Macaca fascicularis: one gene and its partners. The protein of the gene in region 3 interacts with the protein of the main gene of each other region in a biochemical or structural test. Links are inferred from orthologs where the notes say so. Each region holds a gene or a part of one and is shown on either strand. Other genes may lie near its edges. The genes, in order: RNF216, UBE3C, UBE2L3, UBA7, HACE1, RNF144A and TRIP12.

Region 1 (4,242 bases), on a different chromosome or scaffold from region 3:
TCCTCTCTCCCTTCTCAGCGTGTAAAGAATGTTCTGCAAGAGCACGGTGGCTCAAGCCTGTAATTCTTGCGCTTTGGGAGGCCGAAGGTCACTTAAACCCAGGAGTTGGGCAGCAGAGCCAGACTCCGTCTCTTTAAAAAAAAAAAAAAAAAAAAAAAAAAAAAAAGGCCGGGCGCGGTGGCTCAAGCCAGCACTTTGGGAGGCCGAGACGGGCGGATCACGAGGTCAGGAGATCGAGACCATCGTGGCTAACACGGTGAAACCCCGTCTCTACTAAAAAATACAAAAAACAGGCCGGGCGCGGTGGCTCAAGCCTGTAATCCCAGCACTTTGGGAGGCCGAGACGGGCGGATCAGGAGGTCAGGAGATCGAGACCATCCTGGCTAACATGGTGAAACGCCGTCTCTACTAAAACATACAAAAAACTAGCCGGGTGAGGTGGCAGGCGCCTGTAGTCCCAGCTACGCGGGAGGCTGAGCCAGGAGAATGGCGTGAACCTGGGAGGCGGAGCTTGCAGTGAGCTGAGATCCGGCCACTGCACTCTAGCCTGGGTGACAAAGCAAGACTCCGTCTCAAAAAACAAAACAAAACAAAACAAAACAAAACAAACAAACAAAAAAAACCAAAAAACTAGCCCGACGAGGTGGCGGGCGCCTGTAGTCCTAGCTACTCGGGAGTCTGAGGCAGGAGAATGGCGTGAACCCGGGAGGCGGAGCTTGCAGTGAGCCGAGATCCGGCCATTGCACTCCAGCCTGGGCGACAGAGCGAGACTCCGTCTCAAAAAAAAAAAAAAAACTTAGACGGCCGTAGTGGCGCACGCCTGTAATCCCAGCTACTCGGGACGCTGAGGCAGGAGAATCACTCGAACCTGGGAGGTGGAGGTTGCAGTGGGCAGAGATCACACCACTGCACTTTAGCCTGAACAGAGCCAGACTCCGTCTCCCCCCCCCCCAAAAAAAAAGCTCAATCAATGGGCTGGGGTGGGTGGGGCAGAGAGGAACTGAAGAGACATATTACATTTAAACGCCACCGTTTCCGAGGGACACGGATGTGCTCTGGTCCCCCACCTGCATCCCATTCAGTAAACAAAGGTGATACATATTAGTGTGCCTATTGCCCACCAAAACATACAGCAGCTCAAACCCATTTTTCTAAGACCTCGTGCCTGACTATTGCAGGAAGCTGGAGGATTAAAAACAGCTGGAGAATAGATGAGCTATGTTTGGCTCCTAACCTCTAAAACAATGCCAACCCAGCCCCTTCCAGGAGTAACAGCTTGAAAACAATACACCAAACTTAGTTTTTAGCATTCCTGGCAATTCCATTATTAATTCATGGGTCTTCTTCATAAGGGAAGAAACCCCATTTTTGAGGTGAGGCACAGGCCCACGAGCGCAAAATGGCCTGGCCAAGCTGGAGCCACCTGTGTGTGAGGGCCACGGTGAGGCCCTCTGCCCTGCTCACCCTTACATCACAGTGCTTCCTCTGTAGGTAAACATGTGGGTTTTCAGCCAGGGCGCTTCTTACTGAAGGGCCCAAGGGCCCCGGGAGAACACAGCTGACACGTTTTTTGAAAAGACTATGTAGCACTTTGGGAGGCCGAAGAAGGGATCACCTGAGGTCAGAAGTTCGAGACCAGCCTGGCCAACATGGTGAAACCCTGTCTCTACTACAAATACAAAAATTAGCCAGGTGTGGTGGCACATGCCTGGAATCCCAGCTGAAGCAATCCCTGTGAGGCTGAGGCAGAATTCCTTGACGCAGGGAGGCGGAGGTTGCAGTGAGCAGAGATCGCGTCACTGCACTCCAGCCTGGGCAACAGAGCAAGACTTCGTCTCAAAAAAAAAAAAAAAAAAAAAAAAGAACAGAAAAAAGAACGTTCTTTTTGCACGATCGAAGTACCGGGGACAACTGCTAGCCAGGTCCTCAGGGACGCACAGAGCCCTGGCAGATTTGTCAGAAATTTCTGTAACCCGTACGCCGCGCACGCTCCAGGATTGGTTGCAAGTGGCCCAAAGTCTTGGATCCCTGGTCCCGTTACACCGGGAGCCGGGCCACCTCGACGCGGGGACAGCGGCCTCGCTCCCTGCCCAGCGCCCGGGCACCCGAGCCGGGCCAGCCCCCAGCGCCCCGTAGAAGGGTTTGACGCACTTGCGGCGCCCTCGCGAGTGCCCGGTGACAGTCGCCAACTTTCGCGGAACAACACCCGCTCCAGATGTGAGGGGAGAGGTGGAAAAACGCCGCCCGCCTGGGCTGGGGTTCACAGGGACCGGCCGCCTCCCGCCGCTTCTCCAGGCCGCGCTCGGGTGCACGGACCCCGCCTCCGCGGCGACCTCGGGCCCGGGGGAGGGAAGCGCGGTCTCCCGGGCTATCGCCCTCGCGCAGCTGACCCAAAGGGCCGGCCCGCGAAACTTCGCGAAGAGGCGGGAGGGGGTCGCCCAGTCGCTCAGCGCCTTTGTCGCTCCCGCCTCGCCTCCGCACGGGGCTCGAGACGCCCAGCCCAGTCCTTTGGCCCGATCCCGCCCGGGCCTCGGCCCGCGCCCCTCAGCTCGGCGGCCCTCACGGCCCGCGCCCCCGCCCCCACCCACGGAGCTCCACGGAGGCGTCCCGCAGAGAGGCCGCCTTGCCTCACAGACCCGCCCAGGAGCTCAAGCGCGCCCCGCGACCGACACTCACTCGCCACTCAACTCGCCGGCTAGCCAGGCGGGTTCGGCGGCCTTCGGTACCGCGCCGCTTACTCTTCAGAAGCCACAGCTGCGAGCTCCGTCGCTGCCGCTGAGGCAGCCGCTACACTCCTTCCGGTCCTGCCGCGGCGTCACCTCGCGCCTGCGCACAGCGCCCCCTCCCGACTAAGGACAGGAAGAACCATAGAGGCACTCCGGGTGCTGTGGAGGAGGGACCCGGGGGCTCACCACAGAGAGGGCCGCCTAGCCGCGCCTGCATCCGGGCTCTCCGCCTGCGGAGACTTGACTCCCCCACGAGGCGGAAGGATGAAAGGAAAGGAGACCACCATCCCGGACCCCACAGGAGCCGCCATCTCCCTAGAGCTTAAAAGGGTATGGGGTAGGTGGTTGTGGACGTTTACTCGATATCTACTTATTTGCCCTAATTCTTTTGGCAAGCCATTCATTCATTCTGCAGATATATTCTGTGGATTTCCTGTGGGCCACGCACTGTTCTAGGATTTGGGGAAATTAAGAGTAAAGTGGGTCCCGTGGCTGGGCACAGTGGCTCACGCCTGTAATCCCATCACTTTGGGAGGCTGAGGCGGGCGGATAACTTGAGGTCAGACGTTGGAGACTAGCCTGGCCAACGTGGTGAAACCCCGTCACTACCAAAAATAAAAAAATTAACCGGGTGTGGTGGCGGATGCCTGTAATCCCAGCTACGCAGGAGGCTGAGGCAGGAAAATCGCTTGAACCTGGGAGGCAGCGACTGTAGTGAGCCAAGATGGCGCCACTGCACTCCAGCCTGGGCAACAGAGCTACACTCCATCTCAGAGAAAAAAAAAAAAAAAAAAAAAGTACAATGTGTTCCTGGCCTCAGGAAGTTTAGGTTTTAGTGGGCAAGTGAATAACTGACTAAAAAACTGCTCCTGCTGGGCACAGGGGCTCATGACTATAATCCCAGCGCTTTAGCAGGCCAAGGCGGGAGCATCGCTTGAGGCCAGGAGCTCAAGACCAGCCTTGGCAACATAGCAAGATCCCTACTCTTAAAATAATTGCTGGCCGGGCGCAGTGGCTCACGCCTGTAATCCCAGCACTTTGGGAGGCCGAGGCAGACAGATCACTTGAGGTCAGGAGTTCGAGACCGGTCTGGCCAACATGGTGAAACCCCGTCTCTACTAAAAATACAAAAATTAGCTGGGCATGGTGGTGCATGCCTGTAATCCCAGCTACTAGGGAGGCTGAGGCACAAGAATTGCTTGAACCCAGGAGGGGGAGGTTGCAGTGAGCCAAGATCATGCCACTGCACTCCAGGCTGGGCAACAGAGTGAGACTGTGTCTCAAAAACAAAAATCAAAAAACAAAAAACAATTGCTAAGTACACCTTCAAGTAGAGATGTCAAGTCAGTAATTAGATAAATGAGTCTGGGCTGGGCACAGTGGCTTATAACTGTAATCCCAACACTTTAGGAAGTGGAGGTGGGAAGATGGCTTGAAGCCAGGAGTTTGAGATCATCCTGGGCAATAGAGTGAGACCCCATCTTTACAAAAGTAAAAATTAGCCGGACATGGTGAT
Region 2 (4,202 bases), on a different chromosome or scaffold from region 3:
TGATCCACCTGCCTCGGCCTCCCAAAGTGCTGTGATTACAGGCGGTGCCAGGACTGTATTTCTTTTTTTCCTTTTTTGTTTTGAGACGGAGTCTTGCTTTGTCACCCAGGCTGGAGTGCAATAACGTGATCTCGGCTCACTGCAACCTCTGCCTCCCAGGTTCAAGCGATTCTCCTGCCTCAGCCTCCAGAGTAGCTTGGACTACAGGTGCGCACCACCACGCTGGCCTAATTTTTGTATTTTTGGTAGAGATGGGGTTTCACCATGTTAGCGAGACTGGTCTCGAACTTCTGACCTCAGGTGATCCACCCGCCTTGGCCTCCCAGAGTGCTGGGATTACCGACGTGAGCCACCATGCTCAGCCGCAGGAGGACTGTAGATGGTATCATACTGTGTGTTGAAATTTTGCCAAGAGTAGATTTTACCCTCACAAACAAACACAAAGAGGGTAGTCATTTCACAATGTGTCTATGAAATCTGTTGCATACCTTATATACAACCAAAAATCAATTTTTAGAAATTGGCTTCAATCGTGTATGATATATATGTATATGCACATGTATATGAGAGATTATTTATGTATACGTATAACAAGACACATGTTTATGTATAGGTGGTTCCCAACTTAAAATGGCTCAACTCACAATTTTCTGACTTTGTGATGGGTTTATTGTAGTATTAAATACATTTTCAACTTACAATATTTTCATCTTACGATGGGTTTATCAGGACAAAGCCCCATGGTAAGTCCAGGAGCATATTTATGCATACACAGGTATGTGTACATGATACATATTGATATGTATTGATGCTGTGTGTGTATATTGATGCATATGTGTGCTGTGTATGTATGAGGCAAATCTGCGCATGTCTGTGTACATGGTAAATATTTACGTCCGTCTGTGCGTGTCATAGACATAGAACAGGTGGGGTGTAAACAGACGGGCTGGGCCTAGCTGCTCCTTTCCCGCCTCACTCACTCGAGTCTGGCACCAGATTGGCCGCTCCGGGTGCCGGCCCCTGCACCCCACCCTGCACCACGCACCCTGCCGTGCACCCCACCCCGGCCCACGCCTCGCACTCCGCCTTCCCTGCATCCCGCCCCGCACCCAAAACCTCCCGCCCCCCGCCGCGCCCCCCGCCGCGCCCCCCGCCGCGCCCCCCGCCGCGCCCCCCGCCGCGCCCCCCGCCGCGCCCCCCGCCGCGCCCCCCGCCGCGCCCCCCGCCGCGCCCTCCGCACGCACCAGGCCCCGCCCACTCCGCCGCGTGCCCAGGTCACCGCCCTCCTCCCCAGGCTCCAGCGCGCCTTGCGGGGCCGCGCACGCTGGCGGAGCCGCCGGGAAGAGCGCCGTGGCGTCGATGGCGGAGGCGCGCACGTCTGCAGGGCCGCGCACGCAGTGACGGCTGACCGCCATCTTCCCTCCCGAGGCGGCAGTTCCAGGTGCAAGCGCCGGGTTTGCTGCCCGCTGGGCGCCCCTGCAGCGGCCGGAGCAGTGGCCGGCGTGGATGAGGGGCAGGCGAGGCAGGGCCGCCCCTCCAGTGTTGCCGCCCCTCCCGCCCCAGGGCAGGGCTGGGAGGGTACAGCCCGGGGGCGGGCTCGGGTCGCCTCCCGGCCGCCGCGTCCTCGCTGCCCTGGGCCGGGCGGGCGGGCGCCGAGAGCCTCCCAGCCCGCCCCGTGCCCCGCCCGCCCGGCTGCTTCCGCGGCGGCGCCGTCCGCACATGGGCTAGGCTGCCAGGATGTTCAGCTTCGAAGGCGACTTCAAGACGCGGCCCAAGGTGTCTCTTGGCGGCGCGAGCAGGAAGGTGAGGCCCGGGTTGGCGGGGCTCCTTCGGCTCGGGACCTGCGCGGCCGGGGCTCGGGGCTGGACTCGGGGCCTCCCTGGCCGGGACTCGGGGCTTCCTCGCCGGATCTCGGGTCAGCCCCAGCAAGGACTCGGGGTTGGATTCGGGGCCGAGACTTGGGGCCAGGACTCTGCCTAGGACTTAGGGCTGGACTCGGGGCCTCCCTGGCTGGAACTGGAGGCCGCGCCCGTGGGGGCCTTGCCTGTCCGCTGCGCTTCGGGACCCGGGCGCGCTGGCCGTGGCTCCCTTCCATGCAGGCGGCCGGGGAACCCTGGCATGCTTTGTGCCACCCAAGGTGAACTTACCCTTTCTGGGTGTTTGCTTTCAGAAATGGGGCTTTCCGTGCTCGCTCCCGCATGGCATCAGGGAGTGGCTGCTTTTCGAATGCCACCTGAAGGGCGTTTTCGGTTGTAGAAGGTGAACGGCGCGCATTTGCTGATGTCGATAATCTCTGAAGTGGAAGCAGAACGCCTCATGAATAGCCACGTGTTTGAATCCAAGACCAGGGCAATTATTCGCTACCAGCCTCCCGGAAACTGTGGAGAGACTCCGGACTTGTATCTGTTGTGATGGGCCATAAGTTGTTCGCATGGTCATTGTTTAGAATAAGGGTAGGCAAACCATGACGCCTCTGTTCTAGTCTAGAATTTCCAGCTGTCTGTCCCTGAAGACGGGCATCGGTTGGTTGGTTCACTGGAACCGCTAAGTCTTTGAATGCTGTGTGGTCTTGCTCCCGCCCCTCCCTTCCCACCCCTTCCCATCATTTCTGAAATGTTCTTTAAATTGCTTCACCTAGTTTTTGTTGTTTGTCAGTATATTCTGTATATCACAACCACCAGGTAGGCACGTAACGCGGAGTGGATGCTGGCAGGCCAAGGAGGAACTGCTGTTAAGATTGTGCCATGGTGCTGTGTTTGGTAGTTTCTGAGGGTAGAAGGGAACCTGGGTCAAGAGTTGGGAGAGAAGTGTGCTGATTCTTTTTAAGCTCTGAGGTTTGTGTGATGGTGATTGCTTGCAAGTCGCTGTGCTCCACAACTAAGTACTGTGCGGTTACAGGGTGGGCGTGGTAGCACCTAGGGGCTTCCACGTTAATGAAAATTTCTTAAGAGATCAAAGGATTTCTCCGGTTAGAAGAGACTTCCGAGAATCTCTGGACCAAATTTCCTTGCTTACAAGTTGGGAAGGTGAGCTGCAGAGCATTTGAACGAGTGCACATTCACACAGGAAGCTAGTGGCAGACCACCTGAGACTCCATGCCATTTTCATAGCGCGGCGCGGCCTCTGTTGCGGGCAGGAACACCCCACGGGCCATGGATGTTGGTCCGTTTTCACCAAGGAGTGCATCTCTGCTCTGAGGGAGTGAGGTTTCTTATCTGTTGATCAGAATCTCAAAGGAAGATACCCTGAGCTGTGTGAAACAATCACCCCTTTAAAAACAAAACACTTTTTATTGGAGTATAAGGTAAGATACAGTCAGCTTCACAAGCGCTAAGGAGATCCTTGTGCAAGTGAAATTGAAGAGGAAGGGCGTCTCAGCTGGAGGCTAGCTTTAGCCCCATCTCACCAGGAGCTTGCCGCAGTTGGCCATAATTGCTGCAGAGGGGCTGGTGGCTGTAGGTTCCCCCCCGCCCCGGGATGAGGGTGGGAGTGTTGCACTGCTGACCCTGAGCCGAGGGCCATTCTTCTGGGAGAGAGTGGCAGTAAAGAGCCCTTAGTAGCAACTGGCAGCAGCTGGGGCATGGGTCCCCTGGCCTGGTTAAGGAATCTGGGTGAGGACCCAGCTGTATGTACAGCTTGAAGGATTTTTGCATATGGACACTCTCCTTTAGAGGGAATACCACTCACATCAAAGGAAGACCATTCCCAGCATTCCAGAGGCTCCCTTGCACTCTCACCCTTTAATTACAGTCATGTGTGACTTAAAGAGGGGGACACTGTCACTAGGCCAATTGGTTGTTGTGGGACCATCAGAGTGCACTTAACACACACCTAGCTGGTGTTGCCCACTACACACCTAGCGGCTTGGTACAGCCAGTTGCTCCTGTGCTACCCTCCTGGACAGCGTGTTTCTGTACTGAATACTGTAGGCAACTCTTAATGCAGTGGTGAATATTTGTGCATCCAAACATAGATACAGTAAAAATACAAATTATAATCTTATGGTACCACGGTGTTTATGTGGTCTGTTGTTGACAGACTGAAAGGTCATTATGCCGGGTATGTCTGTATTCCAGCCCCACAAAGGTGACTGTCCTCCTGACCTCCGTTACTGTAGATTAGCGTTACCTGTTGAACTTCAGGGTCATGGAGCCACTTGCCGCTTGTCCTTTGTGCCTGGCTTGTTTGGCTTGGCTTCTGTC
Region 3 (4,099 bases):
GTGTCTTCTCCCTCCCCACCACATTCTACGATTCTACCTTAGGTAACTCCCTTAACCTAGTTAACCTCACAATGTCCTCATTTGTAAAAACATAAAAACGACAATACACTAACTTGGAGTGTTGAAAAGATAACTTATGTAAATAACCTAATATTTAATAAATACTCAGTTAATGTTACAAATTCTTTTCCAAGGTCTATTTTTTTAGAAACAGAGTAATAATTTTAAACCCGTAATAAGTCCCCTCTTAGACCCCTGAGAGCCTGGGGATTCCAAACTGGGTCAACTGGGATAGGCTAGGGGGCTTCCAGGATGAATTAGGTCAAGATCCCTGCCCTTCGGGATCTCAGAACCCAGTACAGGAAAGACAAGTCTGTAACACAAAGAGATTGTGACAAGTGCTCAAAGAGAAACATAAAGTGCTGTGGTCACACAGAGGAGGAAACAACTCATTCTGAAGGGGGATGTGAAGCAGGGGCTCACAGAGCAGTTGGCATTGGAGTTGAACCTGGGACTTCTCTGGAAGGCAGAAGTGAGGAGAAGGCAACTTTTTTGGGGCAGAGCAAACGACACGTGCAAAGAGACACCAGAGGGCAAGTAAGAGCAGGAGACTTTGCTTTGGAGAAAGAACCCAGTTCGATCACAGCTCACTCTCCCTAGCTAGGTAACCCAGGGCAAGCCAAATAATCTTTTCTCATCGACAAAATGGAAATCACAATGTCTACTTCACAGGAAGGATTAAACATGATCATGCATATAAAGCACGAAGTAAAAGCTGGAAAAATAGTAGCTACTGCGATTAGGTGCAAGAATGGTGGGAAACCAAAGGGCAGGAGGTGAGGCTCAACTGATTGCTTTCCGTCAGTCTCAGAAAGGTCTTGCATGCCAAGTAAGAGGTTAGGATTAACTGCTGAGGACAATAAGACCATAGACATTTTTAACAGGAGTGAAAAGAATTGAGTTATCTGCCTTAAAAGAACTCTGGTGTCCGTGAGGGGTAGTCTGGGGAGGAGAGCACTCCGGAGGGCACCCAAGAGATGAGGATACAGATTCAGAGTAATTTCAGTAACATTAGAAAGCAAGTCATGCACTTCAGAAATCTTTTTTTTTGTTTGTTTTTGAGATGGAGTCTCACTCTGTCGCCCTGGCTGGAGTGCAGTGGCGCAAACTTGGCTCACTGCAACCTCCACCTGCCAGGTTCAAACGATTCTCCCACTTCAGCCTCCCGGGTAGCTGAGATTACAGGCGAATGCGACCACGCCCAGCTAATTTTTATATTTTTAGTAGAGACAGGAGTTCACCATGTTGGCCGGGCTGGTCTTGAACTCCTGACCTCAAGTGATCCGCCCGCCTCGGCCTCCCAGAGTGCTGGGATTACAGGCGTGAGCCACCGCGCCCGGCCTGCACTCCAGAAAACTTTCTAAATTTAAATCCACAAGGGTTGAAGGACGACTGCACCTGGGAGTAGGGTAGGAAAGAAAGCCATTAACCGACCCCTTATCTGGTGAATGGTGGTGTCACTAGCTTAAGAGATGAGAAGTCAGAAGTCCTCTGAGTTTTCTTTTGTGCCCACTTCCACTCCAGTTTTATAAAGTTAATGTCCTCTCTAGCCCTTAGGGAACAAAAGAAAGGAAACGTTCCCAGGGAGGCAGGGAGGGCTCAGAGACTGTGGCTCCAAGTTCAATGTCTAGTTCTACCAAACACTGCTCTGCCCAGAACGAACCCCAGCTCTTTATCTCCCCTCAGGAAACCGGCTCCGGGGCCTTTTTTTAATTTCCGGCCCGTTGCAGGCCGGCTGCACTAGCCAGCCGCCGACTCACAGACGCTGGCGGAGGGGACTCCGGAGGACGTTGGCAAATCCACTGGCAAAAGAACTAAGCCAATTTAGCTAATGTGTTCCTCACTAAAAGGTGCCAAGTAGCAAGAAAGCACCCTGCTGCATTCAAGATCCAAAGTACCAAGTTATTATTATAAACTTTGGCCCGTTTTGATTCGAACGACTGAAACCAACCGTTACCCCCCAAAAAATGGCATTTTGCTTTATCAGGGAAGGGAGATCGAGATGACTGAGTGGAGGAGAGGGAAGGAGAACCGCGCCGCGATGGGGGCCGACCTCAGGCCTTCCTGGAGTTGGAACTTGCCCGCTGTGTGACTCTGCAGTCACAAGGCGACAGTTTGCTAGGACCCAGCGCAATTCCAAACGACCCACCAACAAACTGACCTAACTTTGGCCGCCTGGCCTCCTCCCCGCTCTCCTAGCCCGAGCCTTCCAGAGTTCCGAGCTGCGGCTGGGCCAAGCGGAGCTGCAAGCCCGGCTCGCTGAGGCCCAGGGCGGGGCGGTTCCGCTGCACGGGCTCCGGGCAGGGGCTCCGGCGCTCGGGCCTTCCCCGAAGGCGCTCAGTTTGGAGCCTCCCAACCGGGCTCTCACATTAACGACGCCCTCGCGTCGGACCGCGGCCTCCGCGACAGGGGGACGCGGCCACGCTCCGGGCGGAGGGTGGCGTGAACGCCCCGGGCCGGGCTGAGGGGCCAACAGTGGCTCCCAGCGCGGCCTGGCGCTCCCGCCCAGGCTGCGGCCTAGGCCAGCCCCGTTAGCTCCTTGAGCCTGCGCGCGGCCCAGGGAACCGACGAGGCCGTGTAGGGCAGGAGGCCAGACGGCAGCGCCCTGAGAGGCCGCTGCCTGCCTCGGGGGTCCGGAGCCTGGGACGCCGCCCCACGCCCGACCGAGGCCAGAGAATGGCTTTTACCTTCATCAGCCTCCTGCTGGCCGCCATCTTGGATTTGGTGCTGCTCCTTCCCCAGAATGCATCGCGGCCGGCCGGGCGGCTGGAGCCCCCGCACTTCCTGGAGCGGGGGAGGGGCCGCGGGGCGGGGCACAGGAGCGGAGCAGAGCACCTACTGTATGCTTCCCAGCGTGCTCGGAGGCGCGTGGAGGAACACAAGTGAACCGCACAGGCTGAGCCGCAGCGTTTACGGATCGTCCAATCAGATGACAGTTACAACCAGTGCCTGGCACGTAGTAGGCAAATAATAAATATTGATTGCATAAAATAGTTGGCCGGGCGCGGTGGCTCACGCCTGTAATCCCAGCACTTTGGGAGACCGAGGCGGGTAGATCACGAGGTCAGCAGTTCCAGACCAGCCTGGCCAAAGTGGTGAAACCGTGGCTCTACTAAAAATACAAAAAATTAGCCGGGCGTGGTGGCGGGCGTCTGTAATCTCAGCTACTCAGGAGGCTGAGGCAGGAGAATTGCTTGAACCTGGGAGGCAGAGGTTGCAGTGAGCCGAGACCACGCCACTGCACTCCAGCCTGGGCGACAGAGATTCCGTCTTAAAAAAAAAAAAAAAAAGTACTCTGATTGGAATGGGGAATGGAGGTGGGTAAGAGGATAAGAAGGGGAGCAGGGGCCACTTGGAAACCTGTTGCAATCGTTCAGGCAAAGAGGTGACACTGGTTTGGACCTCAGGGAGCAAAGAAGAGAGAAGAACATAGCTTCAGAATATACTCAGACCTTCTTAAGGAGTTCTCTTTTTTTTTTTTTTTTTTTTTTTTTTGAGACACAGTTTCACTCTGTCACCCAGAGTGGAGTGCAATGGCATGATCTCAGCTCACTGCAACCTCTGAATCCCAGGTTCAAGTGATTCTCCTGCCTCAGCCTCTTGAGTAGCATAGATTACAGGCACCTGCCACCATGCCCAGCTAATTTTTGTATTTTCGGTAGAGACAGGGTTTTAGCATTTTTGGCCAGGCTGGTCTCAAACTGCTGACCTCAAGCAATCCACCCACCTTGGCCTCCCAAAGTGCTGGGATTATAGGTGTGAGTCACTGGGCTTGGACATTTTTCTCCATTTCTAAGAACAGTGGGTTTCGGCCGGGCGCGGTGGCTCAAGCCTGTAATCCCAGCACTTTGGGAGGCCGAGGCGGGTGGATCACGAGGTCAGGAGATCGAGACTATCCTGGCTAACACGGTGAAACCCCGTCTCTACTAAAAATACAAAAAACTAGCCGGGCGTGGTGGCGGGTGCCTGTAGTCTCAGCTACTCGGGAGGCTGAGGCGGGAGAATGGCATGAACCCGGGAGGCGGAGCTTGCAGTGAGC
Region 4 (4,094 bases), on a different chromosome or scaffold from region 3:
AATATTGATACAGGCTATAAACTCTGTGAACCTTGAAAACATTCTAAGTGAAAGAAAATAGACATAAGAGGTTACGTTTTGCAATTCTTTTTTTTTTTTTTTTTTTTTTTTTTTTGAGACTGCATCTTACTCTGTTGCCTAGGCTGGAGTACAGTGGCTTGATCTCAGCTCACTGCAACCTCCATCTCCCAAATTCAAGCAATTCTCCTGCCTCAGCCTCCCGAGTAGCTGGGATTACATGTAGGCACGTGCCACCATGCCTGACTAATTTTTGTACTTTTAGTAGAGATGGGGTTTCACCATGTTGGCCAGGCTGGTCTCGAACTCCAGACCTCAGGTGGTCCACCCGCCTTGGCCTCCCAAAGTGTTAGGATTACAGGCGTGAGCCACCATGCCCAGCCACATATATGGTAATTATTGAATGTGTTTGGTATGTTCGTTGTGGGTGATGAAAAATTATGGAACTAGATAGACGTGATGGTTGAACAACACTGTGGATGCACTAAATGCCACTGAATTGTACACTTTAAAATGGTTAATTTTATGTTACATGAATTTCACCTAAATTAACAACAACAACGAAAAAGAACTTAAGACAGCACTTGGTTTGGCTATTATGAAGTTTCGTGAGAAACAGTGGTCCATCTCCCAGAGAACTGGCCCCAGGTTCCTAAGAAGGCAAAAGGGGCCGGGCGCGGTGGCTCAAGCCTGTAATCCCAGCACTTTGGGAGGCCGAGACGGGCGGATCACTAGGTCAGGAGATCGAGACCATCCTGGCTAACATGGTGAAACGCTGTCTCTACTAAAAAATACAGAAAATTAGCCGGGCGAGGTGGCGGGCGCCTATGGCCGCAGCTACTGGGGAGGCTGAGGCAGGAGAATGGCATGAACCCGGGAATTGGAGCTTGCAGTGAGCTGAGATCCTGCCACTGCACTCCAGCCTGGGCAACAGAGTGAGGCTCCGTCTCAAAAAAAAAAAAAAAAAAAAAAAAGAAGGCAAAAGGACACACCTGTGAAGGGTACACAGGCCCTCTCTGCACTATTTTTTGTGCAACTTCTTGCAAGTCTATAATTATTTCAAAATAAAAGTCTAAAAGGAAAATAAGAACATGTATGAATGTGGCTGCCCCATGCCTCCCACCCTCAGGTCTGACACTCAGAGACTGATCACCTCTTGGAGTCCTGGAACTCATCCCAGGTTTTAGACCCTGATTGGCCTGTCTGGGGCCGGCGTCTGGAGGCAGGATCAGGAGCCTGCTCAGAGCGTAGTTTCACTTTCACTTTTCTTTTCTCCAGAGGAGCCAGGAAGAGAGCTGTGACCAGCAGCGTCCCTTATTCCCTTGGCCTTGGTTCTTGTTTGCACTAGCTACAGCAGGGCACTGGCCCCTACTGTCACCGCCTTCTAAACAAAGACCCTCTCTCTGAGCGCTGCAGCCTACTGTTCGGCCCCAGGTTTGAGGATGGATGCCCTAGATGCTTCGAAGCTGCTGGATGAGGAGCTGTATTCAAGACAGCTGTGAGGCCCGAGGTGAGGGGTGGAGAATGGGGGATGGTCTTCAGACCTTGATCTGCAACTGCTTGCCTCCTGCTTCCCATCCACAGGTATGTGCTGGGCTCACCTGCCATGCAGAGGATTCAGGGAGCCAGGGTCCTGGTGTCAGGCCTGCAGGGCCTGGGGGCTGAGGTGGCCAAGAACTTGGTCCTGATGGGTGTGGGCAGCCTTACTCTGCATGATCCTCACCCCACCTGCTGGTCCGACCTGGCTGCCCAGGTAAGTGTCCTGGGGGGCTGTGGGCTGCCAGACCAAGGTGGGGGCATGGCCCAAGAGGACTCCTGTCTTTGCTCAGGCTGCACTGGCTCTCTCCCTAGTTTCTCCTCTCAGAGCGGGACTTGGAAAGGAGCAGAGCTGAGGCCTCTCAAGAGCTCTTGGCTCAGCTCAACAGAGCTGTCCAGGTCGTTGTGCACACGGGTGACATCACTGAGGACCTGCTGTTGGACTTCCAGGTCAGCTCAGGCCTGCAGCCCTCAAGAGCAGGAAGGGCTGGGCAGTGGTTTTAGCCCTGCTGATCACAGTGTCCACCCAGGTGGTGGTGCTGACTGCTGCGAAGCTGGAGGAGCAGCTGAAGGTGGGTACCTTGTGCCATAAGCATGGAGTTTGCTTTCTGGCGGCTGACACCCGAGGCCTTGTGGGGTGAGTAAGACTGCCTGCCCGGCCTACCGTATTATAGCCAGCAACTGGCCCCATGCTGTCCTCAGCTCCAGGCTTGCTCCAGTGCCCCTCCAACCAGCCTCAGGTCTATACCAGCATGCCTTTCTGATTCTGGTTCCCAGTCCTGCCCTCTGGTTCCTCCAACCTAACCTCCAGACCTGCTCCAGTAACCCTCTCAAATTCTAGTTCCCAAGCCTCTCCTTGCATTCCTTTCCCAATTCTGGCCCTCTGGCCCTGCCCTAGTATCCCCTATCCTTAAGTACAACCTGTAAGCTGCCTCAGTGACCCCTACCACCCCATCTCAGGCAGTTGTTCTGTGACTTTGGTGAGGACTTCACTGTGCAGGACCCCACAGAGGCAGAACCCCTGACAGCTGCCATCCAGCACATCTCCCAGGTGGGTGCTGAGCTGTAGACATTCACTTGCTGACCAAGGAAAGGCTGCCAGGGCCTGTGGAAGGCAGGTCCAGGCACCCCTGAGCCAAGCCTCCTCCTACTCAGGGCTCCCCTGGAATTCTCACTCTGAGGAAAGGGGCCAATACCCACTACTTCCGTGACGGAGACTTGGTGACTTTCTCAGGAATTGAGGGAATGGTTGAGCTCAACGACTGTGATCCCCGGTCTATCCATGTGCGGGGTAAGCCAATCCCATTCCAACTCCAGGCGCAGCACCCAAGCCTCCACTGGGAGTGAGCACAGCCTGGCCCTTGGAATGGGTTTTTCTCCCTCCATCTTCTATAGGGTGCAGCAAGGTCTGGGACACAGATGCAAGATAGGATGGGGTGTGGGAACTACTCAGGCTCAAGGATCATACTGACTAGACTGGACCTCCCTCAGAGGATGGGTCCCTGGAGATCGGAGACACAACAACTTTCTCTCGGTACTTGCGTGGTGGGGCTATCACTGAAGTCAAGAGACCCAAGACTGTGAGACATGTGAGTGCAAGTGCATCTGAGGTAGGGGAGCTTGGTTGACTTGAGGGGCCCGTAGCATTCTGGACTAGACCCTGAGCCAGGTGCCCTTGCAGAAGTCCCTGGACACAGCCCTGCTCCAGCCCCATGTGGTGGCCCAGAGCTCCCAGGAAGTTCACCGTGCCCACTGCCTGCATCAGGCCTTCTGTGCACTGCACAAGTTCCAGCATCTCCATGGCCGGCCACCCCAGCCCTGGGATCCTGTGAGTGGCCCTGTTGCTCCCACCCCCAGCCTCTGTCATTTATTGGGGTCCCATCTGCCAGAGGTAACAATGACCGTTCACAAATCCAAGTTTGATCTTCCAACACTGCAGCCTTTAGAGTAGAGGCTGGTTCCATGGAAGTGCCAGGCACACATCCTGGGGACCCCTGCTACACCCTGATGCCTCAGATCTGTGTTGGAAGCTGCACTTAGATTAGTGAAGCCTCTTGTGCTGCTGTCTGGTACTGGACATCCTCTGGTGGTGCTGCACAGGCTGGCAGCAGGGCCAGGCCTTCCCACCCAGGCTTCTGCTTCCTCTTCTGTGGAACAGGGTAGATGGAGGGTGGCTGGAAGGATTTGAGTCAGGAGTGGAGCTCAGGCTGGGGCTACTGTGCCACAGAGTCCTACCAACAGGTTGATGCAGAGACCGTGGTGGGCCTGGCCCAGGACCTGGAACCACTGAAGTGGACAGAGGAAGAGCCACTGGAACAGCCACTGGATGAGGCCCTAGTGCGGACAGTTGCCCTAAGCAGTGGAGGTGTCTTGAGCCCTATGGTGGCCATGCTGGGTGCAGTAGCTGCCCAGGAAGTGCTGAAGGTAGGCACAGGCATAGGTGTGGGGGGTACTGGGAAGATGTGGAGATCGGTGTGTGTGTCAGAGGGCACCCAGCACCAGATAGCAGCCCTGGAGGCTTCACCAACCTGGGTGTAGCC
Region 5 (4,213 bases), on a different chromosome or scaffold from region 3:
CTGCCTAAGCCTCCCGAGTAGCTGGGATTACAGAGGTGCTCCACCACACCTGGCTAAATTTTATATATATATATATATTTTAGTAGAGACGAGGTTTCACCATGAAGACCAGGCTGGTCTCAAATTCCTGACCTCAAGTGTTCCGCCTGCCTTGGCCTCACAAAGTGCTGGGATTATAGGCATCAGCCACCGTGTCCAGCCTCTGGTATTCTTTTGAAACTTTGACCTCTACCACCTTGTTGCCAGACTGATTTAGGTGTCATCTGATTAGGTGAAGACTACAGAGGTCTTTCCCGAGCCTGTGGCACCACTGGCACAAATGGTCACTAGCTGGAACTGATTTAGGACGGCACTGGCAAGGAAAACACAAGCCAACCACCACCTGCCCCTTCATATCCTGAAGGGGCAGGTGAGACTCTCTTTCTCTTGGCCAGCCAACATACATCATCGACGTACATGTGCCCATTCATTACAGGAACAGCTTTGCCTCTTTGAGGAAAGAGGAGCTGAAAAAGACAAGCCTTTTGCTTCTCCCTCACTCCAGCATCATCTTGGCACTGGTAATATATCCAAGATATTCATAGTCAGTGGCGTTAGCCAGGCTCATATTTACCGCTTTGATTGGGTTAATATTTTTTCAAGTTCCAACTTCTGTTGTTTCAATTATCAAGTGTTCAACTTCTGTGCACAGCTTATGAATATGATTTTTCGCCACTGAGTTCATTTCTTACACAATGTAGGTATCCAAGTTTTTTGTAACTTACAAAGTCACATCCTTTGGATTTCCCACTAGGCTCTGTCATCACATTGACATTTTAGCATTGTACCAAATAAATGAAAAAATTTTTTCAGGTTGTCATCATCCACATCTTCCCCAGAGCTTTAACTTTGTGCCAGGTGCCTTGTTAAGTACAGGGATCAACACAGTTCCAAATTAAATGTCCCTGCCCTCGTAAAGTCGCCAGGCAGGAAAAACAACTAATTAAGCTATTGTCAAGTTATTTACAATGACGACAAAAGCATATTGTGCTTTTGGATTTGTTTGATTTTATTACTCTTTAAATTTGACATACGAAAATACCATACTTAAACAGTTCATGTACCTGGAACAAAGGCACTAATACAGTACTAGAGAGGTGGTGACGGATTTAAGAACAATTATGCCAATTTACAATCTGTTTTACAGTAAAGTTACAGAATTGGAGGAAGCTACTCCTGTACAACTTTGGAGGGTAGGAGGAGCAGGGCGTGACAATGCCTTTCCAGGGACTTAGGAATACGCCCAGTCGCTGCGTGGCTTCCAGCACACTCAGCCGCGCGCCCGCGTGGGCGTGGCCGGGGCGCCCCCAGCGTGACTCCGCCCAGGGCGCTCGGTTCCGCGAGCTGGAAACTACAGTTCCCAGAAGGCCGCGCGAGCCCGGGAGGGACGCGGCGGCGGTGGCAGCAGGAAAGGCGCGAGCGGAGGCGGCGGCTGGTGTCCCCTAGGTGGTCGGCCCCGCAGCAGCCGGGCCCCCGGACGCAGGACGTGGCCCCAGGTAGCCCTTGCAGCTCAGTGCTGTAGCCAGGGCAAGCCCGCGCCTCCGCCTGCTGGAGTGGCCCGGGCGAGATGTAGGGCGCTGGGCGCGGAGGCCGCCGGTGCGGCGGGGGATCGCGGAGGGCGCGCCGAGGATGGAGAGAGCGATGGAGCAACTCAACCGCCTTACGCGCTCTCTGCGCCGCGCGCGCACCGTGGAGTTGCCCGAGGGTGAGCGGGGTCGTGGGGCCGGGCTGTCCGCGGGGCTGGGGGCGGCCGGGGGAGGGGGCAGGAGCTCCGGACGCGTCAAGGTTGGGTGGAAAAACTAACCGAAAGCTGAGAAAACGCCCACTTTTACTTTCCAGAGCTGAGAGGCGGCCCCGGGCCCTTGACTCCCTTGGCCCGCCGCTCCCACCCCGGCAGGTGGGAGTTTGCGGGAGGAAACTGGGTTGGTGGGGGTTCCGCTGCCGGGAGGAGCGAGACAAAGGTCTCTCAACGTCTGTCGATTAGGGGTCTTGGCAAAGAGGCAGGAATACCAGCCAAAGACCCGAGACCCGGAGTCAGAAAACATCATAATTGCGGGTCATTTCACTGTCGCCGGAGATAGAGATGATCCAAAGATAGTGTTTAAGCTGCATCGGGGGGCCAGGCGGGCTTTTATTTTTGTTATTTTTAAAAATGTGGGGCACAGCCTTGTTTTGATAACAGTAAGACAAAGGGTTGTCAACCATCAAACAGGTACTCTTAAAAGTACTGTGTGTGTAAACACAATACATTTTTCTTTAATATGCATGCCTGACTTCATTTATTCATCAGACTAGTATTGAGTGGGCTAGCTGGGAACTAGGACGCATCTGCAAATAGGGATAAGGCATGGTGCCTGAAGTTCAGGACTTTTAGTTCAGCATTCCAGGGTTCCTTCAGAACAGGTAAAACTCTACTAATAACGAGAGAAAATAAACAGTTTTGTTTACAGCGTCAGGAATTCAGACGTTTTAATGGTGATGGGAGATAGCAGTGCTGCTTCTAAGAAGCTTTTGGCTCTTTATGCCCAAGTGAGAGAAGGGTTGGGAGGAGGTTATAGCTGGTGAATAGCTTTTTTCTTAATTGTAGTAGTTTATCTTATTTTTTCAAAACTCTCTTTGAATTGCTGCTGGGTGATTTGTAGGATAGGGAAGGGGACCTTGGCAACGGTCATGAAAGAAATGTGGGATTGGGTACTTCGGCGATAAGTTTCTTTCTTTTATAGAGATGAGGCCTCACTATGTTCCCCAGGCTGGTCTTGAACTCCTGGGCTCGAGCAATCCGCACCCTGCTCCGCCCCCCCACAAAGTGTTGGGATTACAGATGTGAGCCACCGCGCCTGGCCTGGGGATAATCTTCTTGAGAAAATGGTCTCTAGTTTCTATTTAGAATTCAGATTTTGATAACTAGATTCAAGCTTCAATTTTTTCTTTATTTCCTTTCCAAATTCCACATTTGAATCCATTTCTTCAGTGCTACTCTTGCTTATTTTTCGTAGTCAAATTATTGGTATAGGTTGATGAAGACTACATGTATAATTTATATTGTATAGTTTGAATCTCGATATTTTTTACATAAATGTGATTTAGAAGACTCTGATAATGTTACTTGGTTTTAAAAGTAACGTAGTTTCATTGTAGAAAATTTGGAAAATAAAAATAGAAAAAGAAATGTCATTCCACCACCCAGTTATAAGCAGTGTTACCATTGTTACTTCTTTCTCTTTCTCTCCCTAACAAGTTAACGTCATATTGCATATAGCCTTTTATTTTGTGTTTAGAAAACATCCCAAATGTTTTTTTTTTTTTTTTTTTTTTTTTTTGAGACAGAGTCTCGCTCTGTTGCCCAGGCTGGAGTGCAGTGGCCCAATCTCGACTCACTGCAACAGGCTCCGCCTTCGGGGTTCACGCTATTCTTCCGCCTCAGCCTTCCGAGTAGCTGGGACTACAGGCGCCCATCACCACGCGCGGCTAATTTTTTGTATTTTTAGTAGAGGCGGGGGTTTCAGCGTGTTGGCTAGGATGGTCTCCATCTCCTGACCTCGTGATCAGCCTGCCTCAGCCTCCCAAAGTGCTGGGATTACAGGCGTAAGCCTCCGTGACTGGCCCCCAATTTTTTTTTTTTTTTTAATATTCTTCAATATGCTTAATGACTTCGGAATTTCCTAAGACGCACGTAACAAATGTTGAATCTAAATACTGTTTTTAAACTGATTTTATGAGAAACAGCTTTATATTTAAGACATAGTCTGTCTCTAAATACTTCCTTAGGGTTAATTCTCTCAAGAAGAATGTCTACAATACATTTCTAAAGCTCAACGTATTATTTTCTCAACTTACTTCTTGGAAAGTTCCACCAGCAGTCTGAGAGTGCCCAGAAACTAGAGTTTGATAAGTAAAAGTAAAACTTCCCCACATATAGGCAAAAATGGCATCTTGTTTGCATTTGCTTTTCTTTGATTATAATGAATTTGTTCATTTTGTTACTTGAATTTAATTTATCTTTGTCTCTAAGTTCTGATGAGTATTTGAATTCTCTGAGCTTGGCTCTTTCAAGTATATCATACATATAGGAATATATATATGAGATATATATATCATTTCTACTGATACAAATCCACATTTGTGCTTACATTTTTGTGCTTACATTTTAAGGACTGAATGGAAAAGAAACTCT
Region 6 (3,500 bases), on a different chromosome or scaffold from region 3:
TTAAAACAAAGTAAAGCTCAGAGAGATTAAATAATACAACGGGTTATCCACCTGTAATCAGGCCCGACTAGAGCCAACACCTGAAAATGTTACCATCTCACAGTAGGATCAAACCCAGCATTCCAGCCCCACGCCAGGCAGCAGCCCGGCTGGGCAGGGTAGTAACTGCAGGGATGAGAGGGGATGCTGGGTGCACTGTCATCTGTCATGTGCTTCTGAAAGGAAACTGTTTTAAAAGGAAAGTCACCTTTTTAAAAAGTCTTAGGCGTTTTTAAGCAGGGAGTTCTTAGAGACCCGCTTCATTAATCTGCTATAAATACACCTCTGGGAGATAAGAATTAACATTAGTTTCCTCTAGTGTGCCAAAAATATATTATTTGCTCTGTTTGAAAATATGTCTCATACACTACACACGTATGTAGTACGTGTTGGGGAGGATAATGGGGAGGATAATGCAGAATGTTAATAGACATCTACACCTGAGCCTGGGGCCGTGTTCACAGGATGTGACGTGCCGTGGCAGCACAGGAAGCACGTTTGCAGTCAGCAGTCTGAGCAGCCATTTGTCCCTGACCTTTTCGATGAGGAATCTGTCCGTATGAGGACAGGCAGTGCCAAGTCACAGCTCTGTGAGGACAAAACTAATAAGATTTAAATCGTTCCCATGGAAACCTTAGCCAGGTCTCCCCTGCATGCTGTCCTGGGGGGCCTTTCGTGATGGGGGTGCATAATAGCATCTCCCACTCTTGAGCCAGTAGGCTGGGCAGGAGGCGGTGCATGACCATCACGTGCATGAAGAGACCGAGACCCAGCTTTGGGACATCTGCTCCTTGCTGATGTCAGAAGCTCCTCACCGCACAGGAGGGGTAGGGACAACAGTGGGACGGAAGGGTCCCTGGCAGGCAGCACTGCCCTTCTGGGTCTAGCCCCAGAGCTATATGGGAGGAGAGCAAAGAGTGAGCGAGGATTTCTCTTCGCGCGCAGTGTATTGTTCAGTGCACAGAGCACTTGCATCCTCCTGCAGGGCTGGGCAGACACGGGCCTCCTATCTCATCAGGGACAACGCTGGGCTCACCCCACAGCATGCACAGACGGCAGGCAGCGAGGTGTTGGAGGCATCGCAGGTACGGGATGGGAGCGTGACCCAGGCCAGCTGCCTTTAGCCTTTGGCGTTTCCTCCTCACTGCTCAGTGTGGCGCTCGGTGCCCCAGGCCGGCACGTGCAGCCCCTCCTTGCTTTGCTGTGGACCCTCAGCTCAGGGGAGCGCCAGGCATCTGCCCCCACACAGGTGACCCACAGACAACAACTACATTTTCTCAAAAAGCCACTTGTCAGAACTGACAGCTAGGAGCATTCTTAGGAAAGCAAATGCAGAAACTATCCACAAGTAAGAGAAGAGCTAAATGTGTCCATTCACTCAATGTGAGGAGCACCCTGGGGATTTTAGATTATTCTAATGAAGATAATTAGAGTAGAGCACCTGTTCCTGACCTCCAGTGTTCCTCATTATTATCAAGTTCTTCTTAATTTTCTACCACCCCTAACATTCGGACGGTTTTTGTGCTGTTGATTAATTCACGCTTTAAAAAAAAGGCAGGGGGCAGCCAGATGAGATCAAGGGTCAGCCTGCCATGGCCAGTGGGCCAGATCCAGTCCGGCCAGTGGCCTGCTGCTGTCAAGTTTTGCTAGAACATTCATTTCCAGGTCACTGTGTCTGCTTTTGTGCTGCAACAGCAAAAACCCAGTAGTTACTGCAGAAACCCAGAAACAACTTGGTCCTCGACTTCTATGATGACTATCCGACCCTCTACAGAGGAAGTTTGCCAGCCCCTGGATTAGATGACTAGATTAGTTTAAAGCTAGACCCTACACAAGATGGTTTCTAGAGCGCTGAATCTGGCTTCCCCGTGTACTGGGGGAACATGTAAACACACAGAGCCTTACACGTACATATGCGTGTGCACCGTCAGGACACCCAGCTGGTGATTTGTCATTCATTTGCTGCTGGTCCCGTGGCAATGCGTGTAGGTGAAGTCCTGGTCCACGTGTGGTGCCAGCCTGTTGTGGATTCCAGTGAGAGGAATCCCATGTGTGATGCAGGTGAGCGGGAGCTGCCCGGCTGCCAGTCACAGGGCCCGGACATTGGCAAGGACTTGTCATCGCCTTTCAAGTCGTCTCTGAAACTCAGTTGTCCCGACAGACGACGACTTCCCAAGAAGAGCCCCGCTGAAAACTTAGAAACCAGTGGCCCACCAGAACGCCTTTGGAAATAGCCCACATTGCACTGGCCTCGGAGAGCTTTCTGGCGGAGCCTGCCTTCTCCCCGGGGTGGCCCCTCATCGAGAATTCGGCGTCATGCCGGACAAGAGGGAAGATTAAATGAACAACCAGTCTCCTTACAAAGGGCAGCCAGTAATTTAAAGAAATGTAATTTTTGGACAAGGATGTGAAGAAATAGATGTGTCAAGGTGTCCTGTTTTTAGAAATAAGCTTCTTGGCCAATTCCATAAGATTGGGCTCTTAGAAATGTGCGCTGTGATTCGGAGAGAAAATCTGGCCCTTGAAGGGTTGGTTTCACTCCGTAGTTAACTCATGGCTTGGATTTGAGAAGGGGAGGCCATCTTAGGCAGGTGAACTATTTGGTTAGAAGAATAATCCAGCCATCTTCTTCCCTCTTCCTTTCCGTCTTCTAACAGCGTTTTCCTGGTGCTGGGTGTGTGCCCAACACGGGCCATCAGGGGCCCGGCTTCAGAAAGCTGTCCCCTACGGGAGGCAGATGAGCTAGCACGATGTGCGTTGCTCAGAGAAACCTGACAGGCAGGTGGGACAAGCTTTCCAGAATGTGGAGGCCTTTGAGCTGTGAGCTGAGTCCCAGAGGCAAGCAGGGCTGACCCAGGGCTCCAAGGGCATTCCAGGGACAGGAGCAGCATTCCTGAGGGATGCCTGGGGTGTCTGGAGGTCTGTTGCATGAAGGGAGAGGTTGGGAGGTGGAGGTGGAAGGGTGACTTGGGCAGTGCTTCGGTTGGGGCTGGTGGTTCTGGCTGTATTACCTGGATGTGTTTCTCTCTGTCCGTGCACTGAGGGGCTCCTTCCTCTGAAGCCCACATGACCCTCTGGCTTAAGTTTGATTTGCCCATTTTGTCTCCCTATACCAGAGGTGCTGTTTGATCCCTGTCGGACTTGGTGCCCAGCGTCCACCTGCCAGGCTGTGTGTCAGCTCCAGGACGTGGGGCTGCAGACCCCCCAGCCAGTGCAGTGCAAAGCCTGCCATATGGAATTCTGTTCCACCTGCAAAGCCAGCTGGCACCCTGGCCAGGGCTGCCCGGAGACCATGCCGATCACCTTCCTTCCCGGGGAGACCAGGTACCCTTTGTACACACTCTGCCACAAAGGCGTGGGCTGTGGGCCAGGAGAAGCAGGCAGGCATGTTTCTTCCTAAAAGTGCCGTTACAGTGTAAGTGGCTGTGGCTCAGTCAACCCTAACACACACTGTACCTCTT
Region 7 (4,133 bases), on a different chromosome or scaffold from region 3:
AATGTCAGGATCATAAATCTTAAAGCTGGCCAGGCGCGGTGGCTCAAGTCTATAATCCCAGCACTTTGTGAGGCCGAGGCTGCTGGATCACCTGATGTCAGTAGTTGGAGACCAGCCTGGCCAACATGGCAAAACCCCGTCTCTACTAAAAACACACAAAAAATTGGACAGGCGTGGTGGTCGGCGCCTGTAATCCCAGCACTTTGGGAGGCTGAGGCCGGTGGATCACTGGAGGTCAGGAGTTTGAGACCAGCCTGGCCAACATGGCAAAACCCTGTCTCTACTAAAAACACAAAAATTAGCTGGGTGTGGTGGCACACGCCTGTAATTCTGTGCTGGCACAAGCCAGCTACTCAGGAGGCTGAGGCAGGAGAATCGCTTGAACCCAGGAGGCAGAGGTTGCAGTGAGCTGAGTTTGCGCCACTGCACTCCAGCCAGGGCAACAGAGGGAGACTCCCTCTTGATAAATAAATAAACAAATAAATCTTAAAGCCAATGGAAAAATCAATAATCCGTTTAAAAAAGGTATGAAGCCGGGAGCGGTGGCTCATGCCTGTAATCCCAGCACTGTGGGAGGCCGAGGCAGGCGGATCACGAGGTCAAGAGATCGAGACCATCCTGGCCAGCATGGTGAAACAAGGTCGCAGTGAGCTGAGATCGCGCCACTGCACTCCAGCCTGGCGACAGAGCGAGACTCGGTCTCAAAAAAAAAAAAAAATGTACAAAAAAGGATGACTTTCAGTATTTCATAAATCACCAAATGAGCAAAAACCCCTAAAAACAGTTTAATTAAAAATTTGAGGCTGACTCTGGGCCCACTGCCTACGAATTAGCCCTGCTCCGCAAGGAGCAGTACTGTTTTTTAAAAAAATTTTTTTGGACAGTCTAATATTACATTTGTAATATTTCTAAATCTTAAAAAAATATATTAACATTTATATTTTAAAAGATGCTTTTAAAAATATAAAAAATTAACTCATTACCTATTTTGTTTAAGGGCTCCTGGGAAAATCGAGGGAATGATCAATATGCACACCAAAACAAATATATACAAACTTCTAAATTTCATTTTATAGGAATAGAATAGTATCTATTGCAAGCGCAGGGTGCATGAATAACTCAGTGACAGGCATAAGCTCAGCCAGGATTAGAAAACGTCTTCCCAATGGAGGCCCCGCTCAAGTTGAGAATTTCATGGACACAGTAAATCATCCAAAAGCCCACCTTCAATAACCAAAGTAGGCATAAAAATAGGCCGATGGTTACTTTGGAGATAATATAATCCTCGGTCTTATTGTTGTGGAGCAGATGTCATTATGGGTGGGGCTGAAGCGCAGAGCTGCTGAAACATTTTTATACCACCACCCGCACACTTTCAATGGGATAGAAGGGACTCAAAAAGGTAAGAGAAGAGCTCCCAATCGTCAATTGCTACTAGAAATAACTAACTTTTGATGTGGCCATGGCACGCGTAAAGGCCACAAAGAGATTTATAAAATTCTCCATGATTAATTCCTATCCTGGAAAAGAGGCAATCTCCTTTTCCCCTCCCTAGCCCGCTCCTCCTTGGGACACTTGGTTGAGTCTTTCTTTCCCTCCTTCTCACGCTGAGGTGAGGCCGCACGCAAGCCTGGGACGCCCGTTTTCCTCTTCGCGCGGAGGGAACTCTACGGGTAGGAAGCCGGGGTGGCGGGAAAGGAGCGCGCGGCACCGCGGGGAGGCAGAGAAGGCTTGCCAGGGACTAGCCGGGCTCGGGGAGAGCAGGGACACGCGGGCCGCCGGACCGAGGAGGCCGAGGTGACGAGGAAAATCTCCCGGCGCGGAGCCGGGACCGGGCGCTTCCGGCGGGCTACGGCTGCTCTCGGCCTAGCACAGCCTGGGTCCCGGGCCCCAACCGGGCCAGGTAGGGAGTTAGGAGAGAGGGTAAACCGGGGCTCGCACTTGCCTGAGACCGGGTGACCAGTAACTGGTAATAGTCTTTGCTGGGCGCCGGGCCTTGTCCTACAGTTTCAAACAGAGTCTCCGGCAGCCTCGACGCCATCTTGGGACGCCACCGCCGTCGCTAAGACAACCAGGAAGGGGCGGGGCTTGGTCGGGGTCAAGGGGCCAAAACCCTAGTTTAAATTGAACCACGCTTATGAGCTGGCAGAAGGATTTCTAACTTGGGGCGATTCTCCCCTTCTCCAAGGGTCTCAGGGAACCCTGATCCGTGAAATTTCCAGCTCCAGGTCCCGGGTGACCCGAAGGGGAATTAGTTCCTGCTACCACGGAGGGGAGGGGGTGATCCCGGCGGAGGGATACCAAGTGGAGCTCCACAGTCCCCTTCCTGGTCCCTCGAAGGGATCGGGCGGAGATCGGAGGCTGCTGGGAGAGTCGAGCCGGGCGGTAGGGGAGGGAGGGGCGATGTGATGGGCCGCCAGTAGGCAGCGGGGCCGGTCCCGCGGACGAGCCCGTCAACCAGAGCCCGAGGGCAAAGTAGTTCCCCGAGGGTGTCAGAGCGGGCGGGGAGGGAGGCGGCACGGGCGGAGGCGCACGCCGAGCGCGGTGCTGCGGCTCAGCTGATAATTGAAGGAACCCGGAGCCGCCGCTGCCGCCGCCGCTGGGGGGGGTGGGGGGAGCTAGTGGAAGTTACTGCCGCGCCACCGAGTCCGGACCGGAGACTTTGGGGCCTAACTAGGTAATTGGGGCGCAGCTCCGGGCGGCGGGGGCAGGCCTGGGGGGAGGGGGCCAGCTGAGGGTTTGGGGGGGCGAGGGGAGGAGCTGGAACAGAAAGTCCCAGGAAGCCCGGTTGTGTCATCGCCGCGATTCGGCCCCCGCTTGGCCTGCTCCCGGCGCCGGCGGCGGCGGAGCCGCGGAAGGACCGGGCCGGGGGTGGACGGGAGAGACGCTCGAGGGCCGCCGCGGCCGGAGGGACCGGGGCCCGGCGGGAGGCAGGGGTCTCTGGGTCCCTCCTCCGGCTCCCCGCAATGAGAAGGGCCCTTCAGAGAACCGGGGTAAGGCTTGCGGGTGTTGGGGAGCTCGGCGGGGGTCGAGAGGGGCCGGAAGTGGGCTTTGGAGCTTGGAGGGTGTCTGGGAAGAGAGAAAGTGGGGGGCCGGAAGTGCAGGTGGGGGGTGTGAAGACGGCAAGGGTTCCCCGGAAATGGGACGAGGGGCCCGGAAATTGGGAAAGGGGAGGCTCCGGGTCTGTGGACGGCCCGGAAATGGAAACTAGGGAGCAGCTCGAGTGACAACAGTTGTGGGAAGCGAGGGTCAGAGGAGGGAGAGGCCGGAGTGACTTTAGACCGCAGTAAGGGGTTTCCTGCCCAGGGGGACGGCGAGGGACGGTTGAGGGAGGGCGAGCCCGGAGACGGGGTCTGCGCGGGGCAGTTTTTTAAGCCGTGGGAAGTTGAGGCTGAGGGAGGATGATGACGAGGGGGGCATGCAGGGAGGCCTAAAGAAGCCAAGAAACTTGACTGAGAGGAATAGAGTATCCTTTTAAATAGATCAGAATGGAAATTGGTGGTAGGTGGGTTTAACTAGGACTTGGGGGAGGGAGGTGGGCCAATTGTCACCCCAATCGTATTAGCATTCAGAGCGAGTCAGGCGATTAATTTATTTATATGTGGATTACATAAAACCTATTACAACGTTTGTCCATCAGTGCAGCCCCTCTCCTTCCTTCTCCATAGTGAGTGGGTTTTCTAGTACAGGAACAAGTTGGAGGGGAGTTCGAATAACGAAGGTAGTAAAACCTCAAATCCTGTCTTCCTCAGCGTCTTTCCCTTCCTCAGAATAAGAAATCCTTCGTTTCTTAGACGGAAAAATACGGAAAAACATAAAAGCACATGTCAATGGGGGGAAATCACACGTTTGAACTGCTGGTGGGGGACAGGAGAGAATTGGTTACCTTACGTGGTGAGGAGAGAACGGAAGGGGCAGCTTCCAAACCCTTAAGACAGATCTGTTTGTTTTTTTGATAATGCTGTTTTACTTTGTCTGGGGGAGGTTTAGCCTAAGCATCGAGTCTGGTGGTGGGCATAGTTTAATTGCTTCGTTAGTTAACTCGGGGAGGGAATGTGTCTGTGTGTAAAGGTTGGGCCGGTGCGGGGGGGCGGGGGGGCGGGTACGGTTAATAGCGCAGTGAATCCGTTCTA

The links.
Region 1: the proteins of UBE2L3 (region 3) and RNF216 form a complex in vitro, tested with the Homo sapiens proteins (5 studies listed by BioGRID). The link is inferred for Macaca fascicularis from reciprocal best matches to the Homo sapiens genes UBE2L3 and RNF216.
Region 2: the proteins of UBE2L3 (region 3) and UBE3C form a complex in vitro, tested with the Homo sapiens proteins (6 studies listed by BioGRID, with this or other methods). The link is inferred for Macaca fascicularis from reciprocal best matches to the Homo sapiens genes UBE2L3 and UBE3C.
Region 4: of the proteins of UBE2L3 (region 3) and UBA7, one has a biochemical effect on the other in vitro, tested with the Homo sapiens proteins (2 studies listed by BioGRID). The link is inferred for Macaca fascicularis from reciprocal best matches to the Homo sapiens genes UBE2L3 and UBA7.
Region 5: the proteins of UBE2L3 (region 3) and HACE1 form a complex in vitro, tested with the Homo sapiens proteins (8 studies listed by BioGRID, with this or other methods). The link is inferred for Macaca fascicularis from reciprocal best matches to the Homo sapiens genes UBE2L3 and HACE1.
Region 6: the proteins of UBE2L3 (region 3) and RNF144A form a complex in vitro, tested with the Homo sapiens proteins (3 studies listed by BioGRID). The link is inferred for Macaca fascicularis from reciprocal best matches to the Homo sapiens genes UBE2L3 and RNF144A.
Region 7: the proteins of UBE2L3 (region 3) and TRIP12 form a complex in vitro, tested with the Homo sapiens proteins (6 studies listed by BioGRID). The link is inferred for Macaca fascicularis from reciprocal best matches to the Homo sapiens genes UBE2L3 and TRIP12.

Annotation. Positions count from the first base shown.
Region 1 is NC_088377.1:45,377,961-45,382,202, forward strand, and holds the start of RNF216 (E3 ubiquitin-protein ligase RNF216), read right to left. Parts: upstream 2,801-4,242; 5' UTR 2,677-2,800; intron 1-2,676.
Region 2 is NC_088377.1:198,429,970-198,434,171, forward strand, and holds the start of UBE3C (ubiquitin-protein ligase E3C), read left to right. Parts: upstream 1-1,402; 5' UTR 1,403-1,737; coding exon 1,738-1,803; intron 1,804-2,176; exon of another isoform or gene 2,177-2,411; coding exon of another isoform or gene 2,412-2,453; intron 2,454-4,202. UniProt on the Homo sapiens protein: E3 ubiquitin-protein ligase that specifically catalyzes 'Lys-29'- and 'Lys-48'-linked polyubiquitin chains.
Region 3 is NC_088384.1:31,559,586-31,563,684, forward strand, and holds the start of UBE2L3 (ubiquitin-conjugating enzyme E2 L3), read right to left. Parts: upstream 2,801-4,099; 5' UTR 2,775-2,800; coding exon 2,748-2,774; exon of another isoform or gene 2,222-2,747; intron 1-2,221. UniProt on the Homo sapiens protein: Ubiquitin-conjugating enzyme E2 that specifically acts with HECT-type and RBR family E3 ubiquitin-protein ligases.
Region 4 is NC_088376.1:112,842,881-112,846,974, reverse strand, and holds the start of UBA7 (ubiquitin-like modifier-activating enzyme 7), read left to right. Parts: upstream 1-1,294; 5' UTR 1,295-1,460; coding exon 1,461-1,516; exon of another isoform or gene 1,517-1,528; intron 1,529-1,602; coding exon 1,603-1,771; intron 1,772-1,847; exon of another isoform or gene 1,848-1,869; coding exon 1,870-2,004; intron 2,005-2,084; coding exon 2,085-2,191; intron 2,192-2,514; coding exon 2,515-2,605; intron 2,606-2,709; coding exon 2,710-2,845; intron 2,846-3,045; coding exon 3,046-3,143; intron 3,144-3,235; coding exon 3,236-3,382; intron 3,383-3,766; exon of another isoform or gene 3,767-3,795; coding exon 3,796-3,978; intron 3,979-4,092; exon of another isoform or gene 4,093-4,094. UniProt on the Homo sapiens protein: E1-activating enzyme that catalyzes the covalent conjugation of the ubiquitin-like protein product of ISG15 to additional interferon stimulated proteins (ISGs) as well as other cellular proteins such as P53 in a process termed protein ISGylation.
Region 5 is NC_088378.1:70,355,138-70,359,350, forward strand, and holds the start of HACE1 (E3 ubiquitin-protein ligase HACE1), read left to right. Parts: upstream 1-1,413; 5' UTR 1,414-1,668; coding exon 1,669-1,744; intron 1,745-4,213. UniProt on the Homo sapiens protein: E3 ubiquitin-protein ligase involved in Golgi membrane fusion and regulation of small GTPases. Acts as a regulator of Golgi membrane dynamics during the cell cycle: recruited to Golgi membrane by Rab proteins and regulates postmitotic Golgi membrane fusion.
Region 6 is NC_088387.1:115,097,577-115,101,076, reverse strand, and holds part of RNF144A (E3 ubiquitin-protein ligase RNF144A), read left to right. Parts: intron 1-3,155; coding exon 3,156-3,363; intron 3,364-3,500. UniProt on the Homo sapiens protein: E3 ubiquitin-protein ligase which accepts ubiquitin from E2 ubiquitin-conjugating enzymes UBE2L3 and UBE2L6 in the form of a thioester and then directly transfers the ubiquitin to targeted substrates.
Region 7 is NC_088386.1:125,855,031-125,859,163, reverse strand, and holds the start of TRIP12 (E3 ubiquitin-protein ligase TRIP12), read left to right. Parts: upstream 1-1,333; 5' UTR 1,334-1,402; intron 1,403-1,585; exon of another isoform or gene 1,586-1,673; intron 1,674-1,945; coding exon of another isoform or gene 1,946-2,041; exon of another isoform or gene 2,042-2,052; intron 2,053-2,556; exon of another isoform or gene 2,557-2,677; intron 2,678-3,187; exon of another isoform or gene 3,188-3,286; intron 3,287-4,133. Other genes in the region: FBXO36 (F-box only protein 36), read right to left, coding at 1,946-2,041. UniProt on the Homo sapiens protein: E3 ubiquitin-protein ligase involved in ubiquitin fusion degradation (UFD) pathway and regulation of DNA repair.